3 linked regions of the Mus musculus genome follow. The protein of the gene in region 3 interacts with the protein of the main gene of each other region in a pairwise test. Links are inferred from orthologs where the notes say so. Each region holds a gene or a part of one and is shown on either strand. Other genes may lie near its edges.

Region 1 (3,748 bases), on a different chromosome or scaffold from region 3:
CACCCAATTGTATGTAGATGCCCAGAACCAAGTTAACATCCCCCAGAAGAGCAGCAAGTGTTTGTAATTGCTGAGCCATCTCTTCAGACCCTGTCCTTTAGGGTTTATCATGCAAGGGTTGAGTTGGATTTTTTTTATTGCATTTGTTTTCATATGGTGTGTGTGTGTGTGTGTGTGTGTGTGTGTAGGTCAGAGGACAATTTGTAGGAGTTTAATCTCTCCTTCCATCACGTGGGTCCTGGTGATTGACACCGTTCCTGGGACTTTACCCACTGAGCCAACTCACAGAAGTTTTCTATCTTACTCATTTCAATCACTATTTCTATGGCTTCCTATACTGCCATTTTGCTTCTAATTAAGATCTCTATATACATACACCTTATCACATTTTATATTTGGTTTTATACATACATTTATAGGATACAAAATTCTCTCTGAAGATAAAAAGTAATAACTTTGTGTAGGGGATAACTTATTGACAGAGCATATATTCCTTATTGGCAAAACTTTTGCCTTCAGGACAAAAATGTAAAATAAACTAAAACAGTAACCTGTTTCCTCTTCCCTCACAATGATTACTTTTTTCATATCACTTACAGTCTTCAAACTATGAGTTACTTATAAGTATTGTTGGCTAACTGGCCGTTTCTACACTAATAGGAAGTCCATTGGGACTGAGAACTTTTATTCCTATAGTGCGCTGTCCCAAAATGATGAGTGATGCGAAATAGGTATTCAAAACAAATTGTCAGAAAAATTCAGTTATCACATGACAAAACAAGAACGCTACTGATGTGCAGTTCTTCAACATGAACTCCCAGCCAGAAGTTGCTAAATGCTTGAGCCACATTCCTTAACTCTCCTAGTCAAAGGCTAAGAGGGAAATTGCCAATGGACGCTGGTTTTACAAAAGTGTTCCCATTACTTAATCTCAAACCGATCCTAGAATCAGCTTTCACATTCTAAAGTTCTTGGCTGCACGTGGGCGTCCAATGCCTTCAGCACTTGCAGAAACTGAATCTCAGCCCTTGAATGGTGGGACTTAGCTTGCAGCACCCAGCTAGCCCCACGCTGCCCATCCCAGAGGCGTAGGAAGAGACCCAACCCTTAGCCTCCAAGCCGCAAGGGGAGCCGCACACGCCCCTCCGTCCCACGCCTTGTCCTTTCGTCCCGCCCCCCGAACCGGAAGCACTTGCCCGGGTTTCCGGCGGCTCCGGGACTCGTGGTGTTCCGGGCGATGTCTTGGTTTCGAGCGGCTCCGGAGAACGCGAGCCCTGGAGACCAGGACGTGTTTGACGAGGAAGCGGACGAGTCTCTGTTAGCGCAGCGGGAATGGCAGGGTCACATGCGGAAACGAGTCCAAGTAAATGGACGGGACGCGGGAGAAAGGGACTCCCAGGCGGGACCCGGGGGCTCCCTGGCAGGGGCACGCACGCAGAAGCCTGGGCGGAGGAGCGCGGGTCTCCGAGCCAGCGCGCTCCAGTGTTGCCGGGTCTTAAGAATCCTGGTTGTTTCTTGGTGCTCTTTCGGAGCCCCACCGGGTTTGGAGCAGGGACATTGACCCTACTCTACAACGTGAACTTTATTCAGTCCCTCAAGAGTGTGCAGTTTGGGGTCGGGGGAGCAGAGGAGGAGAAATGCACACCCACTAGGCTGATGGCCCGCAGAGAACGCAGTCACAGAGAGTCCAAAGTTAGGCGTGATGTTATCAAGGCTTGGAGAAGGGTGAACTGAGAATGTTGTCAAGGGAAGGTAAGGGGGAGGTAGAGAAGGGAATACTGTTCCAGCTTTACTTTAAATGCGTTATTCAATCCGGACCTGTCTTGCCATTCATTGAAACTTGCTTAGTACTATTTGGGTAGAATCGGCGCTTTTTCTGGGTGAGAACTACTTGCTAAGATCTGTCTCCACATGGGGGTGGATTCCAGAGTATAAAGACCTGCGTTCGATCCCTGGAACGTACTTTGTGGAAGGACAGAATGGGTTTCTGGAAGTTATTTTCTGACCTTCACGCTCAAGGAAGTAAATAAATGCCTCCCTCAAGAAAAATAAGTAAATATATGTTACTTAACTGTTTAAAAGATAAGAACTGCATCCACCCAATATACTAGCCATTAAATTACCCTCTTAAAGCTGCAGTTATGTCAACCCTAATTTAATGTTCCAGTAAGTTCATATTTGTTGAGCCCAGCAACCATCATATCATTACAAAAATACCATAGGAATCCAGGGCTAAACTAATAATAATAATAAGACAAATCTCTATGCCACAGTTTAGATTAGATTTCTAAAATCAGACTTCCTCTTCACTGTTCCTAAAATAGTTCCCTCTTCCCAGGCCTTGCCAGCCTCCTTATCTATCCTATTCTAGTCCGTTACCAAGAGACCAGACATGTAGTTTCCCATTTCTGTGAAGACCTTGCTAACACAGTTTTTAAAAAAAACATAACAACTGATATTTAATGTTTGCACAGTAACCCTAGATTTCCAAAGTGACTTCCCCGTGTGGCATCGAGGCATCTGCCTGTCATCGATTAGGAGAGTGAGGAAGGTAGGATAAGGAGCTCCAGGCCAGCCTGGAAAACATTTTAAAAAAATAAGACAGATCTGACAAGGAAAGATGAACCAATAATAAGATTTTAGGAGAAACATTCTGCTTTGGATTTATGTCTCTGCCATATCATAATTCAGTTAATATAGTACAAACCTAAATTTGTCTTCAAAATTGGTTCAGTGCTTTTCCTGAGAAGACTCACTTGGTGTCAGTTACAACTGGGTTTTTTCTTCTTTTTAGGAGGGTTACAGAGATGGGCTAGATGCCGGCAAAGCACTTACTCTTCAACGGGGCTTCAATCAAGGGTACAAAGAGGGTGCAGACGTCATTATAAACTATGGACTCCTTAGAGGAACACTGAGGTAATTTTAAAATTTTAAATGATGAATCATTTAGCCACAATTCTAATGAAGGTCTTTAATAGAGGTAATATGTAAAAATTCAGTGTTTAAAAGTGTTTTTCGGGGGCTGGTGAAATGGCTCAGTGGGTAAGAGCACCCGACTGCTCTTCCGAAGGTCTGAAGTTCAAATCCCAGCAACCACATAGTGGCTCACAACCATCTCTAACAAGATCTGACTCCCTCTTCTGGAGTGTCTGAAGACAGCTACAGTGTACTTACATATAATAAATAAATCTTTTTTTAAAGAAAAAAGTGTTTTTCGTGCTGTTGGGTGCATGGCTCTTCAGAATGTAAAGTACTGCTTTCAGAAGGTTTTCTAGGAGTTGTTGGTTAATTCCTCCATTTCACTAGGTGTCCCAGCTGCTTTTCTCTTGTTGCCATTTGGCAGAGCACTGATCACTCAGGAGGGGTTTTCTGCTAATAAAGAACGCTGTTTTACCTGCACACGTGATAGAGGACAGATGGTGGGTCTTTCAGCTGGAAGTCCACGGGGGAAAACCGTAATTACTGAGAGAAAGAGGTCTTGCTTGTTTGAGCCCTGAACTTTAAATACCTGTAGGATACCATAGCAATAATGGCAGAAAATAGAGCCACAAAGTCAGGTCCAATGGTGACAAAGAGTTGGGCCAGCCTCTTTGATGGGGATAGTTTTTAGACTGTCCTTATAGAGAAACAAACTGCTGCAAAGAATCACATTTAAAGAAAAAGAAAAAAATTGTTTTAAATTTTGTTGAGACTTTTAGAAAATTAAGGAGACTATATAATTGAGAAGAGGAGGTAATTCGCCAAGCAT
Region 2 (3,748 bases), on a different chromosome or scaffold from region 3:
AGAAAAACATTACATTCCAGCATTGTGTTCCCGAGACACAGGACACACCATAGGTTAACAATTGTTTCCACTCTTACAGATAGGTACTTTGTTTACAAGTCTACCAACCACCACCACACAGCACTAACTGGAAGTTTTATTCAAAATTTCCCCATATGTATATATAACCTTATTTAAAATCAACTCTGGTTTTAAAGAGTGATCTAAGGGTTTGAGATGTGTAATGCAAAATTTTCCCCAGCAAGGACAAGGTTCTAAGTTCAATACCCAGTACAACCCATGGAAGACTTGGACGTAACTAAAAAAAAGGTTGACTACTATTGTGAAAAAGTTTTCTGAAGTAAATGACAAACGTAATCCTGGCTATAAATAAAAATGTCCTCCATTGATGACTTATGCTAGTTTACAGGCAAGATCATAAATTGGCTTTGTGATGAAAATTGAATAATTTAAAATCATGCTTCATGTTTTGACCATTTTTTGAGTTCATCTATGTGATGTGTTTTATTTACTCAACTTATTCATGTACTTCTGTGAATTACAGTCATAAAGGAGGTAAATTTTAGTAGTTTAAATAACACTATCTAGTGTCCCTAACACAGAAATTAAATGTCTTATTCAACTATGTAATGTCAAGAAGCTTAATCCGCTCAGTACTTCTGCCCAAGTGATGTTTTCTAACACTCCAGACTATGCTTCCAAATATATTAATAGAACTCTTCCCTTTTATAAATCTACTAGGAACTGGATGTTTTACTCTAAGCCTTCATTGAAAGACACCACCACCCCCAAAAAACTTCAAACCTAACACAATCTAATGAGAAACAATTCCTTTCATGAGCACGTGGCATTGAGAGGCACTTTAACATAATACCAATTTTAAAGATTCACAGGTTATTCTATATGTACTCGCTATTGATTTTTCACTTTTTTAGCCCCTAATTGCTTTGCCTTTTCATCCACAATAAGCCAGTAATGGAGAAGAATGCTAAAATCAAAACAACTATGAAACTTCTAGTGCCCTTGAAGAGACCATTAGCCGCCAATGAAGACCCGACCACGCTTTACGCACGTGCGGAGGAAAAGCTGCAGCCTGAGTTCTGCTGCCGGGACATGACAGGCTGGGCACTCATTTCGCCCACGAGGCCCAGAACAAGCAAAGCCCTATGACCTGGGGGCTCCAGGGAGTTAGTTGGAAGAAGAGATGGAGACATGAGATGGGTTCCACTAATGACCAGTTTTTTATTCGGAACTCCCTCTAAAATGAGTGGGGCTAAATTCTTCTCCTCTCCAACACTTTAGTTCTCGCCAGTAAGTTACAGGAACTTCTTCTAACGTAAGAGCGAAAGGGCACAACACAAAACACACACGTGGGACCCAAACAGCAACTCCTCCCTCCCTCCACTCTAACAGGGACCCCCAAACGGAGACGCAGCCCAAGTGGAAACTCTGAGCCCGGGCCTTTCCTTGAGGGTCCGCGCCATTGTGGGACAAGATGGCAGGGCAGGAGCCCACAGCAGGCAGCGGCAGCCAGGAGCCCGCCGGGCAGGAAGCAATGCCCGCGCTGCTTCCCGAGCGCCTAGAGCCAGGAGGCTAGCGCCCGGCAGGAATCGGCGGGAACGCCCGGGCCGCCCTCTCGGAGCACGCTCCGTCCGCCCGAGGCGGGAAGGAAGGCTCCCGCCGAGCCTGCGAGCGAGCAAGCGACCGAGAGAGCGGCGTGGACTTGGGACCAGCCACGTTCCCCGCACCGTGAAGGGGCTCCGAGGGCTCTGCGGCCCCGCCGCCTGCACGAGCAAGCGGCGGCGCACGCCCCCGTCCTGCCCGCCAGCCCGGGCTCCCCACCGCCTCGCCCGGCTTTACCTTCTTTCTTAAGCGCCACCGGCGGCTGCGTCTCCTCCTTTTTGTCGGCCACGCCGACGCTGGGGGGCAGCGGGTTCTTGCGGTCTTTCTGGGACTCTTTACGCAACTGTTTGCCCGCCGCGTTGGAGTTGGTCTGGGCCGCGGCCTGAGCCGCGCTCTTGGCCCCGGGGCCCCCAACGCCGCCCCCGCCGGCTTCTTTTTTCTTGTTCTCTGCTGCCTTCAGTACCTCGAAAGGGTCCGATTCGTCGTCAAATAGCTGGTCGAATCGGTTGGTGACCACGCAGCCGAAGCCTTCCTGTAGGTGCCCAGGCATGATGGTGGCTCGGCGGCGCGTTCCTCCACGGATTGCAGCGGACCGCGCCGAGCCAAAAGCGCCTGCTTCAGCTCTTCCCACAAGATGGCCGGGCCGAGAGAGGGGGGCCGCCTTCTCTTCCGGCGCCAAGCACACATCCGGGAGCGGCCTGCGCCGCACGGCACCATGGGGCCTGTAGGCCACAACTGATTAGCCCGGGATGGCTGTCTACTCCTGAACTTCAACTCCCAGCGTGCACTGCGCAGCAACTCTTCGCGCGCGCCTGAGAGGCGGGATCTCAAGGAAAGTGTGCAGCGTGCTCGCTGAAGGTGGGGAAGCGAGTACGGGGCGGAGTTCTGCCACCTGCTCTTGTCACCCTTAAACTCTCGGTCTTTAGATACCTCTGAGAACAGGAAAACGTGAGGGCGTCTTCTGCTCACGAAAGTGTTCTCTGTCTTTGGTTTCACTCATTCTGTCTCCGGCCAGGACTTTCCCCACCTTTCTGGGAGGGTCAAGGTGACTCCCAGACCTAGTAACTGGAGCCTCAAAAACTTCCGGGGGGTGGGGGGTGCCACAGTAGCCTCCGGTAGGTTGCGACCGCACGGCTGCTCGTCCCTGACTGTTGGATTTCTAGAGCTGTCCCTCCACCCTTCGTAACGAATCAAGGCAATTCGGTTTAATGTGGAACGGAGTTCCAGGGTTGAATCTGCGTGGCAGAAGGAATCCAAAAGAGGAGTTGAACTAATTGGGTTGCGCGCCTTTTCCGGTCATTGCAACCATGCTTTAAGAGCTGTTAAGTCCTGACTGCACAACTGCACGCTCGGCCATCCTCTAAAACAGTGTTTGTGGAAACGCTTTCTAGAATCAACGCGATAAATTGATCTGTCGGTATCTGGTCAGCGGTGTTAGTAAAATGTGCTCCAGAGCCTGGGGTGGTGGCGCATGCCTTTAATCTGAACACTTAGGAGGCAGAGTTCAAGGCTAACCAGGTCTACAGAGCAAGTTCCAGGACCGCAGGGATTTCATAAGAAAAAACCCTGTCTCCAGCTCCCCAAATGTGCTCAAGAGGAAATGTTTTATAGTACATTGGGTATTATGTGTGAAGGGAGGAAACTAATTTCGTAATTATATGCTAACTCTGACATTAGTTGGGAACCTTAAATCCCACTAAGACAATCCAGTGCCAATACACACTATAATTTTAAATCTTTTCCATTGATACATTATGTAATAGAAAACATACCTCAGGCAGCAGGTGCTACGAATGTTTCATCCTCACATCCTTTTAGATAAATAACTATCCCTTTCTCACAGGGATGAAACTGTCAGAATTGATAAAACTTACTAAGGTCACACTTAAGTGCTAGTGGCAATCTTCTAGCTGCACTATGAGACTGTTGACATCAATTCTGTAAACCAAGTTCTGTCCTGATAGAAATTACAACAAGTGCTGAAATTCCAATAACTAATCAAGTTTAAACAACCCTTTGAATCCGTCTCCTGGATCAACAGAATGAAAGGCAAAATGGGATTCCCATAGTAGTTTTCTGATCTCTACACTCATACTGTGGTACATTCACACTCAAACACACATAA
Region 3 (3,648 bases):
GTCAGAAGATATGAAGAGAGGCTGTTACTCTCACCCCAAGTGCAGAAGAGGGAACCCCAAAACTCAAATCCCCATCATCAGTGGTATAATACACCCACCAGACTTCTCCCTGTCTCCTCTGTATCCAGGTTCAGGCTCTGTCTCTCCAGGTACCCCTGGTGCTTCATCCTCTAAGAGAATTTTCCTGTGTTCTAGCCGTTCTCCCAGTGATGGGGCTGGGCTGGGAGAATCGACCTGGTGGAGGACAGAAGAGTCAAGGTGAGCTAGAGAGTTCCTAGGCACCCTGATGCCAAGATCCCTCCAGACTTTCCACTCCATCTCCTCAGAGAGAACCAGGTGTGCACACACCTCTGCCTCCATCTTTTCCCCCACTTTGCTGTTCTTCTCTGGCTTCTCTTCCTGGTTCTCAGTGTCATCCTTGTCCAGCGGTGTCCTCACACCATCTCCCTTCTCACTTGGAGCTGGAGTAGCTGTGAGTGAAGGCGCAGTGCTATGGTTTGGCTGTGACCTAAGTACTCTCTAAAGGGTCACATGTTGAAACTTAACGCCCAGGGTAAAGTAATAAACTGGCAGGAACGGAATCCAACCTCAGTGCTCACAGGTGGGGCTTAAAGAAGATAACCAGGGCTAGATAAGGTCATGGGGCGAGACCCCATAGTTGAAGCCTGGTGGCTCTTAAGAAGAGAGAGGGGAGGATCTACATGCATGCTCTCTGCATTTCACCATGTGACAATGCAAGCAAGGACTCTGCAAGCAAGAAAGTCACCCCCCAGATGCAGCTGCTGACCTGGAACCTCTAAAACCATGAACCCAAATAAACCCATTTCCTCTATAAAGCTGTCCAACTTCATGCATCTCACTATAATCACACAAACAGCCTAGTAAGAGGGGAAAGCAGAGATTTTTCCACCCTGACATCTGGCCACCACTGCTTGCCTCTCCCACCCCAATCCAGACTCCCAATTACCAGGCTTAGAGGTACAAGGACTGTTGGTTGTAGAAGCCTCAGGAGTGGTGGGAGATGTTTTGGTTGGAGAGGAGGCTCTGGAAGAGCGCTTGGACTCAGCACTGGGGTCAGGCATCAGCTCTGGCATTGACCAGCGTCCATTGATATGCTCAAACTCTTGGACCTGGGGAAGTTCAGGGACCAGGATCAGTTCCTGGCACTGGCCATGTAGGAAGCTCTAGTTTCCTCTCTCACACCAGCCTGGCCAGGGCTCAGAGAGGAAAGACAGTGAGTGACTGAACAGTTGGCCTGATGCTCCAATGAGGAAGGACCAATACCTTCTTCTTGACGAGAGACATGACTCCAATGCGGGTCAACACCTGCTGGCGACTCAGCCCCTCCCGAGGGACCCCATCCGCAAACGTTTCGGAGCCATCTGCCCCAGGCTCACACAGATGGCGCATGAACAAAGACACATAGGCCCTGAAAGGCACAGGGGTAAGAGGAGGGTTGCAAGGACTCAGGAGGAGTTCAGATGCACAAGATGCAGAGCTCACTGACCCCCGAGCTTCAACTCCCAGGTGCTTCCAAGAGTCCAGCCCTGGGCCTCTCCCTCGCATCCTGACTTGCTCACTGGCCCCATCAGCCCCCACTGCACCTCCTGGGACTCAGCTCTTTGCTCCAAGGCCCCATCAGTCAGCATTTCATCCTGTTCACCAGCTCCTCCTGCCAGGTTATCATGGCCAGGTAAATGTGAAGCCAGGCCGGCCCGGGTGAGGCCCCTTCTTCAAACACCTCTCTCTCCCATAGGGGAGGAGGCCTGGCCCCTTTACTCTAGGCTCTGCTGAGGGGAAGTGGGGTAGGCTAAGCCCACCTCCCAGGAAATAGAGCCTGGTAATGACATAAGGTAGGGAGGCGGTGATCAGCTGAGTAAGGTCACATCACATGGTAGCCGAGAGGAAGGAAGGAAGGTCCAAAGCTCTGAGCCCCAATTCAATTCACCCCCAAGTCCCCCACACTCACTTAAACTCCTTCTCCGTTTTGCCCCTCAGGTCTCTCACTAGCCACTGTGTGGTGAACGCGTCCTGGGGTGGCATCCCCCAGCGCATCACAGCGTTAAGGAAGGCCTTCCGTTGTCGAGTATTGAATCCCAGTACCTGAAGGGGGGTGGGGGAGAGAGGCGGGGCCACGAATGACTAGGAGCCTGAAGTCCCTCTCTACTGCTGGTGGCCCAGCCTCGGTTCCCAATGTACCACCACCCTCTCCACCATCTTCTCCCTAGAGATCATGCAAAGTGCCCAGGCCAAAGTCTCACTTCAATGTTGCCCCCAACCCGAGCCAGCAATGGAGGCAGTGGCTTGTCCTTCTCATTTCGAAGCTGCCTCTTTGACTGTCGACGGCCTAAGGGTAAGGGTGACACTGATTAGTGGAGACGCCCCCTCCTCTAAGCCCTTCATCTTCCTTATATCCATCCCCATAGTACACAATACACAGGGCTAGCCTGTGTCACGTTCACCTCTAATTTTCTTTCAAGCATGTTCTCAGTACTACTACCTACTAAGGCTAAGAGAAGCCATATTTAAAAACTAATAACAAATACTTGACAGACAATGTTACTCATGAGAAAGTGAGATAACCTAATCTTCCTGTTTCTCTCTCTCTCTCTCTCTCTCTCTCTCTCTCTCTCTGCCTCTCTCTCTGTGTGTGTGTGTGTGTGTGTGTGTGTGTGTGTGTGTTTATACCATCAGGCGAGGTTGTGTTGGTCAAGACGCCAACCCCTGGACTTGAGCGATCCTGTCTGACCTTCCTGGTAGCTGGGCTATCCACTCCAAATTCAACAATGGAGAGATCATGGCCTTTGCTTTCTCCCTGTGTGTGAGCTTCAATTTTCCTACCCAAGGGGCTTTATTTCCTTTCTAGGCACAGGCTGCCTGTGTAGTGAGAACACCTCACACTCACAGTCCTCCTGCTTTCCGTGTTGATATTAAAAGTGTGTGCTACCCATGTTCCCACCCAAAACCAAAGTATTTTTATTGCATAAAAATAGGGGGCGCAGGGGTTAGAGAGATGGCTCAGCAGTTAAGAGCCCAGGGTCCAATTTCCAGCGCCCATATAGTGGCTCACAACCATCTGTAGCTCCAGTTTTGGTGGATCTGACACCCTCTTTTAGCCTCTGCAGGTATCAGGCACACAGGTAGTATACAGATATACATACAGGTAAAAAAATACACAGTAAAAATAAAAATAAATCTTTTAAAAAAAATAGTGTGCTTAAAGAAAGCTAGAAAGTGAAGTGAGAGAATAGAGACAGAAAGTCAAGAAAGACGCCACCTTCAGGACGCTCATCAAAGTCTTCATCCTCTTCCTCGGACCCCACTGAGTACTCTGACTGGTTGTCTGTGAGGGGCAGAGAGGATTCGATGGTAATCAGTAACCATACTGGGCCCTCTCCACTTGGCGTCTTCCTCTTGGACATTTCTCCACCTCCTCCCTGTCCTTGGTCCTACTGGAGACTCTGGGTCATACATCCTGAGCCATCTTTAGCCTTTGGTACACATACTTTACCACTGTGACTCCTGCCATAGCTACTCTAAACAGTGAGCCCTGAGTGCTCATGGATCCCTCTGTAGTCCCTAGATGGTTAAATCCCCATGAATCCATCTGACCTTAGAAAAGTCTCCTGATCCATCCCAATCACCCAG

What was found.
Region 1: the proteins of Chd3 (region 3) and Yae1d1 interact in a two-hybrid assay, tested with the Homo sapiens proteins (2 studies listed by BioGRID and IntAct). The link is inferred for Mus musculus from reciprocal best matches to the Homo sapiens genes CHD3 and YAE1.
Region 2: the proteins of Chd3 (region 3) and Serbp1 interact in binary tests that used the Homo sapiens proteins (3 or more experiments, as listed by UniProt). The link is inferred for Mus musculus from reciprocal best matches to the Homo sapiens genes CHD3 and SERBP1.

The regions. Positions count from the first base shown.
Region 1 is NC_000079.6:17,990,796-17,994,543, reverse strand, and holds the start of Yae1d1 (protein YAE1 homolog), read left to right. Parts: upstream 1-1,192; 5' UTR 1,193-1,237; coding exon 1,238-1,363; intron 1,364-2,794; coding exon 2,795-2,916; intron 2,917-3,748. UniProt on the Homo sapiens protein: The complex LTO1:YAE1 functions as a target specific adapter that probably recruits apo-ABCE1 to the cytosolic iron-sulfur protein assembly (CIA) complex machinery. May be required for biogenesis of the large ribosomal subunit and initiation of translation.
Region 2 is NC_000072.6:67,265,522-67,269,269, reverse strand, and holds the start of Serbp1 (plasminogen activator inhibitor 1 RNA-binding protein), read right to left. Parts: upstream 2,292-3,748; 5' UTR 2,174-2,291; coding exon 1,861-2,173; intron 1-1,860. UniProt on the Homo sapiens protein: Ribosome-binding protein that promotes ribosome hibernation, a process during which ribosomes are stabilized in an inactive state and preserved from proteasomal degradation.
Region 3 is NC_000077.6:69,348,823-69,352,470, forward strand, and holds part of Chd3 (chromodomain-helicase-DNA-binding protein 3), read right to left. Parts: intron 3,344-3,648; coding exon 3,278-3,343; intron 2,348-3,277; coding exon 2,262-2,347; intron 2,104-2,261; coding exon 1,970-2,103; intron 1,840-1,969; exon of another isoform or gene 1,696-1,839; intron 1,430-1,695; coding exon 1,285-1,429; intron 1,131-1,284; coding exon 968-1,130; intron 471-967; coding exon 349-470; intron 235-348; coding exon 99-234; intron 1-98.